Xenopus tropicalis: one gene and its partner. The protein of the gene in region 1 interacts with the protein of each later gene in a biochemical or structural test. Links are inferred from orthologs where the notes say so. Each region holds a gene or a part of one and is shown in the gene's direction. Other genes may lie near its edges. The genes, in order: anxa7 and sri.

Region 1 (4,315 bases):
TATAAATAAATGTTAATGTAATGTAATGTAATAAAAGGTCCTGTGTGCTGCAAACTGGGCATGCTTTTGGTTTTCGCCATCATGGTACGCACAGTTTTTCATTATGCCCATCACGTGGCTTGCTTGGCTATACCTTACTATGGGGATATTGTTATAAAAATTAACAAGATTACCCCAGCTGTAGTAATACATAGCTCTATTAAAGGAAAAGTAACACTAAATTTTTTCAATTAAAATATCTATCCTACCCTGCTCCAATAATTGCCCTATCTTGCACACAATTTATTATTTTGAATGCTTTATTAGAAAATACCTGCTAAAACTTTGCTTCCAGTCACTTCAAATACGGCGATACTCCCTCTGCACAATCCACTATGCGACAATCCACATCTCCTCCTAGCCCGACTCCAAAACTGGAAGTCAATTGTTTGCTTGTACAGAATGAAGGCTATGAGGTTATGTGGATCGTCGCATAGTGGATTGTGCAGAGGGAGGATCGCCATATCGCCGTATTTGAAGTGACCGGAAGCAAAGTTTTAGCAGGTATTTTCTAATAAAGCATTCAAAATAATAAATGGTGTGCAAGATAGGGCAATTATTGGAGCAGGGTACAATAGATTTTTTACTTAAAAAAATTTAGTGTTACTTTCCCTTTAAGAAAGGCCCTCTTGTATTAGTTGTATTTTTGTATTCACCTCTATGTTCCTAGTGGTCCTATAATTGAAGAACAATCCCACATTGAGATTGGGAAGATGGGGGTGGGGGGTACCTGGGCGTTAATCGGTATGGCCCAATTTTGCCCTCATTGTATTATTTAAATAACGGGGACAACCATCTATTGTACAGCGCTGTGAAATATGTTGGTGCTTTATAAACATTGTTAGTAATGATAAGGAAGAGTCTACAAACATTATAGGGGGCAATAAGAACAGATGTCTCCTTCCAGTCCACACGCATCACATGACCTGGTGCCCAGGGAGGGGCAACAGAGCCTCCCAATTCATGCCACTGGCATGACCAGTAAAATATTCCGATGATAACATTTTGCTTATTTTTGGCTACCAGAGCCGTTGCAAACACTGCTGTTTGATTAGTTACCAAAATAGAAAAAGCATCTCCTGCGTTGCTTAGCAACCATGTTGCGAACCTGCTGTACAGAAGTATTAAGAACACTGTATTGTTCAATAGCGGACTCTGCAAATAATGATATTCTGTGTTTAGTACAGAGGACAATGCAAATGGGTCCAAAACGTATAACTCCTAAAAACGTCCTTAGAGCTTGCTCGCTGCAAGTTTTCGGTTCCTATTTGCGCTCACCACTTCCCATTTTCAGCACAGCCCCGCCCACCAGTAGCCCCGCCCACCAGCTAAAGTTGCCCTTCGCTTGGAAGTTACGCAGTACAAGGGCACGCCCACCTTTCTTCCGGGTGCTTTGGTGTCCCCGCCTTTCTCCTCCTGTCTTTCCTGAGGGAGATTTAATTTGCGAGCTCCATCTTGTCAGCGCCAGGTCTCGGAAGTCTCCTTCTCACAGAACTCCTGCAAGCATCTGACAAGGTGAGGGCTCTCACGGCGGGGCACGGCCAGGGTAGTGCAAATATGCGATTCTGCTGCAGTTGCTGAGCTGCAAACCTTAGTATCTAGGTGTCTGTGAGGATGCTGGGAGTAGTAGTTTATTGAGTTTCAGCAATTAGTAGCTTGCTATAGGCTGGGGTAGTCCGATAACATGGCAGCAATAGAAGCGGCATGAATATAAGGCTGAAAGGCTGGGATCTCTGTCAGTAGAAGGCAGGCTTTGCTGCTGGAATGTTGCTGGGCAGGCACCACAGCCATTAGCTACAACTGCAAGCCCGAGGCTAGTGCCTGTCATAAATGCTGGGGCTGGGTGTGTGCCCCACACGGATCCCAAACAGTTAATCCGGTGCAGCCACACCCAGGAGGCTGCCCCCCCCCCCCTTGTCCTCCCCCCCCCTTGTCCTCCCCCCCCCTTGTCCCCCACTGAACTCAATGCAACCAACCCCTCAATACACTCTCATGGGAGAGCTTTCCCGTGTATTACAGGGATTCACTGCCCCAATGAAAAATAAAACAATATAAAATTAAACCAACTTCCCAATATATTAATTTTATATATTTTAATATTTGTAAAATGTATAAATTATTTGTACATGCTACTAAAAGTTTGTTTTTCCCATTCTGTTCTCTAGTTCTGACTCTCAAAAGGTAGGCTCCTGCTACTTCATCTCATTAGTCAGAACCAGCAATGCAGATAATATAAACCGACACTGCTTTCAGTAGCATTGTTACCAGCTATTGTAAAATTATTGACCATTTTTAATAAATGGGTGTTGCATTTGAGCGTTTCTAGCCAACGTTCCCCATTAGTGGCAGCCATTTTCACTTAAAACTAATGACCGGGTTTGGGCGCTTCTCTGCCAGCTGAAAAGCGTAGGAGGAGGATATTCCCTGCATGCCAGGTGTTATTCATGGCCCACCTATATGGAAAACCTTTATTGTAGGTGAACCCTCACACTCAACCCAAGAAACCCTCCAAAGACAGCTAAGAGACCTTTTCCCCCTTTTCTTTCTGCTTATCAGCAGTATACTAATAAATAATAATTCCATGTTTCATAAACTAACAAATCAATAATACAATTCCAAGTCCTTATAAACCAATAATAAAGTTCATGTAGGAGGAGTCCAACATAAGGTTGACTGTAGCAGCCTTAATGGCAATATTAAATCAAAGTAGTTCCTAGCCATCTATCTCCTAACTTTCTTTATTATTGCATGATAAAACAACCTTTGATCTCTAAAGGGTTTATGACTGGTGGCTGCCCTTAAAATACCCTGTTGTTACCAAGAACATTTTTAATGGCAGGTGCTGGCCTAGCCAATACAACATTCTCATGTAAATAACATAGTTTTGCTTTGTGTTACATGCCCTTTGTGCTAATCTATACCAGATATTTGTTGGACCTCCCTACTCTGCATACATCCTAATTATGTCTTAGCGAATGCTGGGAATCGAATTACAGCAACTTCCGGGTAGTGTGTGTGTGGGGGGGTGAAATGGTGCAACGCCTCCTGCCCTGCCCCCCGTTGTTTACATTGCCAGTCAGTTCACCAGCGTGCATAGCCATTACTGTACAGAGCACTCCTGCGTGCCCTTGTCCAGTTTCTTTTTCGTGATGTATGCCAGGCACATTATCTGCCACGTGCTCCAGCAGTAGTGGGGTTTTCTGTTAGTGGTGTCTATTTTGGAGGGCTCAGTTTAAATACAACTTAAAGGGATAAATTACATATAAAAAGCATGGCTGGCTTACTGTAGGATTGAAAGCTGCTTGGGGTACTTGAGATAAGAAATTCTGTCCCCAGTCTGCCAAGTATATTTATAGACCCTTTGTGACCTATACAAATATGTACTTTACAGTATAAGGCTGATGCCAGACGTGGCGTTTTTACGCTGCATATTTTCTAATTCTCTCGGCGGCTGAAAAACGCACAATATCATCATCCATAGAAATAACTTAAACAGTCTCGATGGAAAACACACTATGCGTAAATACGCTAGAAAACGCGTTACCACGGACTTTTCATGCGTTTGCCGAAATACGCCATTATTTGAACAGCAACCTATTCCTATGTGTACACAAAGGCAGCTGCCAGACTTAGCGGAAATACGCAGCGTTTTTACTATTTCGCACTATTAGCACCATGGGAAATGGGATTTGCTACATCACCAGTACTAGGCTGAAAAACGCCATAGTCAGGGGCTTTGTGGGTTGTGCGGCGTTTTTAGGCGGAGAAAATACGCAGCGTAAAAACGCCATGTCTGGCATTAGCCTAAAGGTGGATATCCTTTTTATTGATGCCTTCATACCCCCAAATACAAACAAGATAAGTCTTATAGACATAGAAGAAGGCTTTTTTGTTTGTTTAATGGGGTGTGGGGATATTTGGCTAATATTTTCCTAGAATAGAATCTCTGCAACACAGCATATATGATAGGCTGTGATCAACTGGCTGCCAATCGAAAGTCTGGGGGCTATAATACACTAGTGTTACAAATGAGGGCACAACGTTCTATTTTTGTTTTGTGATATTGCCCTTGTACACTTTTTTTTAAGGGACCAGTTGCCTGACAGGTGTCAAGTGCTTGTCATGCAATTTCAATATACGTCTAAGGGGGGCTGTTTAGGACACTTTGACTGTCTTGTTTTTAAGCAGCTCAAAACCATGCTGCCAGACTGCCTAAATCAGGCCCTTGTGCCTTTGCTGCCTTTAAGTAAGCACTTACTTTCAGCTTGTCTAAATA
Region 2 (4,360 bases), on another chromosome or scaffold:
CCAATATTCTCTTAGACAACCTCTGAAGCCGTCACAGAGCAGCTGTATTTGTACTGACATTAGATTACACACAGGTGCACTCTATTTAGTCATTAGCACTCATCAGGCAATGTCTATGGGCAACTGACTGCACTCAGACCAAAGGGGGCTGAATAATTACGCCCCCCCCACTTTGCAGTTATTTATTTGTAAAAAATGTTTGGAATCATGTATAATTTTCGTTCCACTTCTCACGTGTACACCACTTTGTATTGGTCTTTCACATGGAATTCCAATAAAATTGATTCATGTTTGTGGCTGTAATGTGACAAAATGTGGAAAGTTCAAGGGGGCCGAATACTTTTGCAAGCCACTGTAAGCTAAACAGGTCTCTTGGGGAAACTGCGACTTGCATCTTTTCGCTTTTCTGCTTGCCGAAAATATCCGCCCTACGCCTCGTCTGGCATTAGCTGTAAGGGCAATTTCATCTTTTTTCAGCAAAACTGCAATAACACATAAAACAGGACCCCAAAACCCCCAGAAATGGTTCAAGCTTTAAATAACCTGCCATATTTAGTCAAATAGGAGTGGTATTTAGGGGGTGTGGTTGCAAAAAATTGCTGCGGCATTTATTTTTGTTCCTCTTTCCGTTTTCAAAATGTTGGGAGGTATGCTATTGGGGAAAGATCCGCTCATTTGGTGATCTCGCCAAACAAGAGAATCTTATAACTTTTACCTTTACACATAGGTCACCTTTATATATACATTGGGGACCTAGATAAGAAAACTTGCACCCATACTGATGTGTATGTATGTATAACTTTATTTATAAAGTGATACAAGAGTACGCAGCGCTGTACAGTCTTACAGAATACACAATTACACACAGGGAGGACAAGTGTAATAAATACAATAAATATATAAATACACAGGGAGTAAGTGCCATGTGGGATGAGACACAGTTGGAAGGAGGTCCCTGCCCCTAGAGCTTACAGTCTGAGTGATGTGCAACGTTCTGACTGAAAGTAAGAGACCTATATGCAGTAGCCCAAGGGCATTCTAGGGAGAGCCCTGTTATTACAAGGTAGTATAGTTATGTACTTTAGTAAAGGCGTGGGCTGACAAGGCTAATCCCCGAGTGTTTGAGCAGCTCAGAGGGCGGGCCTCCCCTGTGTGCGCCGTTTCCCGGGTTGGGGTCACTAGTGCACCTCACTCACATTCCGGATGCCGCCCCCGCCCATCGTGGGTTTGAGGCAGTGCAGAGCGCGATGGGAGTGGCCGCTCTTACATTGTATCCGCTGTGGGTTAAAGATCAGATACGCAGTGCTGTGTAGGCTCACTCACTCTCTGCAGCGGCCATGGCGTATCCGGGACAGCAGCCAGGAGGCTATTACCAAGGAGGGGTAAGGTGCACACGGGGGGACTTGGCCGCACGGTATTTGGGCTTTGACGTAGGGAAACTCTGAGTTTGTATAAAGTACTGTGGAACTGTATAGGAACATACTTGGGGCTACTCTGTGTTATACTGGAGGGAGTAGTGGGGGTAATGGGGATGTGGGAGCAGTGTCGTTTGTTGGAATGAGACTGAATGGCTGTGTTCCTATAGATACAGGCGTGTGATGTTCTGGCAATGTAGCAAGCAGTAAGGGAGCGGGTAAAGCCATTCTCTGGGGGGGGGGAGCAGCTGAGGAAAGGTTATTATCAGTCTGTCAGGCCCTGCTGCTGTGCTACCTACAGGCCCTGGGAATTGGTACATCCCATAATATAGTGTACTTTCTCCCATTGCAGGCCATGTATTCCTCAGCCAGGAAAGTAAACATATCTACATTAAAACATTTCCCATAGATAGTTGTAGCAGCCCTATCACTTATTCTGTGTTATTTCTACTTTGTAGTTTTACAGGATAGGGGAGTAGGGGACACTGGCAGGGCATCTTCCCTCTGACAGGCACTAGTTACACAACATATCATTATTATTATTAACATTCATTTATAAAGTGCCAACTTATTCCACAGCGTTGTACAATAAGTGGGTTTCATACATTGCATAATGCAATACACAAATCCATACATAATAAATACATAATGCAAAACACAATCCTTGTGTTAGTTATGCAACATATAATATAACAATATATGTTCTGTGTTCACAACTTAGATGGTTGCTGTGAATCAAAGTATATGATGGTTAAGGCAGCTCACTTAATGGATGTAATAATCGTTTTTGAACAGATAGACCGCTGGTATTTCAGGTTGTGGTGGGCTTCTTGTTTTCTTCAAGGAGACATATCCTATAAAAATTAGGAATGTACCAGTGAATTATACTCCTCCTAGCTATAGAAGGATTGTGCTTAAAAAAGTTGTTTTGGACTGATTTATTGAGAAATTTCACCAAAACCCTGCTAGTCCCGCCCATCTGTTCCACTTCCTGCTGGCTGAATTCTCTGGATGTGTGGGGGAGCAGCAGCACTCAGCACAACTGCACTGTAGGATGGGAACCAATCAGCAGCTAGGCTGACCTGATAGGGAACTGAAGCCTGTCTTTGCTTGTGTGAGTGCAAGGCTGTGATTGGCTCTCCCCCTCCTACTGTGCTTCTGGCAGGGACCGTTACGACACGCCCATCCTTCATTTTAAACACGGACAGAGAAGTGATAGGATCTATAGGGAGTTCCAATAAAGGGCCCATTTTTACAGATAGGATTAATGTTTAGCCCAAAGTGAAACCAGCACCGTATATTATTCATAATTTCCTACAAAATTAGGGTTTTTCCCATTTATTCAATCCTTTGATCAATCAATCAATCCTGAACATTTTCTAAGGCAAGTGACTTTACTGAGCATAAATTATAACTGGTGACATCCCAAGGTACCATTTATGTAGGGAATAATAATAACCTCCCCCATTATAATATAAATATATAGTAAATAATGTATGTCCTATTGTAAAATATTAGGATATTAGTCACCAAGGCGTTCCATGACCATACAAAAGCATAAAGCCGAAAACCAAGTGCATTTATACAGGTATTGGAACTCTGAGGAGACTTCTGATATCTTCATATTTTACAACAGGAAGTGCATTATTTATTTTAATACACAAGTTTCAGTGAGTCATGTGACTTATAAAAAAATTGCATCATTGAGCACCAAATATAACTGATATCACTAAGCAAGCTTTATAAGGATATACTTTACAGGATATTCATGGCTTTTATGCATTATAAGTATATGAGTTGTTACCAAGGAGAACCATACACTAGGGCGCATGTACCTAAGCACCTTTTATAACTAATTGCTTCTTTAAGCACCATTCATAATTACTTGCTGTAATAAATAATGGCTATTAAAATTAATATTAATGGCTCATTTACTATAAGATTATAATATACAAAGATTCATGAGTATCCTGTAAAATATAGTCTTAAAAACTGTGCTCAGAAAAAAAGTGATAGCACTTGTTTCCCTACAAATCGTAATCAGACAGAATAAATAACATGATAGCCTGCAGAATATGACGTATAAGTCCCCTTGTAGTAAGCTGTATGAATATGGCATTTAGCAATATGGCATATAGTGTATGTGTATAATTTAACATTTTTCTTTGCAGGGTACTCAAACAACAGTGGGTGCAATTTTGCTCTCTGTGGATACTATAAACAAAATGCGAAACAGCAAAACGTTGTTATTCCAAGGTGCTGGGAGTGTTTATATAGTGCTTTTACTATGCATTCAGTGGACAAGCTCGTTGCTTAGCACTGGGTAAAGGTTAATGTTCCATAGTTACAAGGCACAAAGGTTTCTAGTCTATGGTTATTCTTTTATGCCAGAAAGAACAGTAAGATATTGTCAGTTGTAGACAGTTAGTCTTTTATACAGTAGCTGTAACCTTAGTACCCTTTTGTTCCACTGCACTGCATCTAATGCTGGGTACAGACATATGAATATTTTTGTCAGCTTAGAAACCAAAAATTAGCAAGCAATATTGTTCTCACCTCAAGTAGCTGCTCTGTGTATAAACTGACAAATCCACATACAATGTATAGAATTAAGGTTGATTTTCAGCCTGTGTATAAACACAGCCCCTATGCTTGAATCGGTGATCTTCTGCATCTGGACTGGGCTGTTTTGGCCTACGTAAAAGCACAAGCATTGGATTTCAGCACTGGAATGAATAATTGCGCTTTTCTAAGCCGAAATCCGCTCTGTGTGCTTGCACCCATGCCTACACAGTGTCTCCCGGGTGTGCACACAGAAGAATGCTGATTCCCTGCACATATGAAGGAAGCATTATTATTATATTATATGTATATGAAGTATTTCTAATTAAAGAGGAGTGTCCCAAACAAATGCTTTTGTGTATCAACACAATATCAGCTTGCCT

Evidence for each region.
Region 2: the proteins of anxa7 (region 1) and sri interact in a biophysical measurement, tested with the Homo sapiens proteins (2 studies listed by BioGRID and IntAct, with this or other methods). The link is inferred for Xenopus tropicalis from reciprocal best matches to the Homo sapiens genes ANXA7 and SRI.

What each region holds. Positions count from the first base shown.
Region 1 is NC_030683.2:39,537,415-39,541,729, forward strand, and holds the start of anxa7 (annexin A7), read left to right. Parts: upstream 1-1,410; 5' UTR 1,411-1,554; intron 1,555-4,315. UniProt on the Homo sapiens protein: Calcium/phospholipid-binding protein which promotes membrane fusion and is involved in exocytosis.
Region 2 is NC_030682.2:30,841,358-30,845,717, forward strand, and holds the start of sri (sorcin), read left to right. Parts: upstream 1-1,286; 5' UTR 1,287-1,337; coding exon 1,338-1,382; intron 1,383-4,360. UniProt on the Homo sapiens protein: Calcium-binding protein that modulates excitation-contraction coupling in the heart. Contributes to calcium homeostasis in the heart sarcoplasmic reticulum. Modulates the activity of RYR2 calcium channels.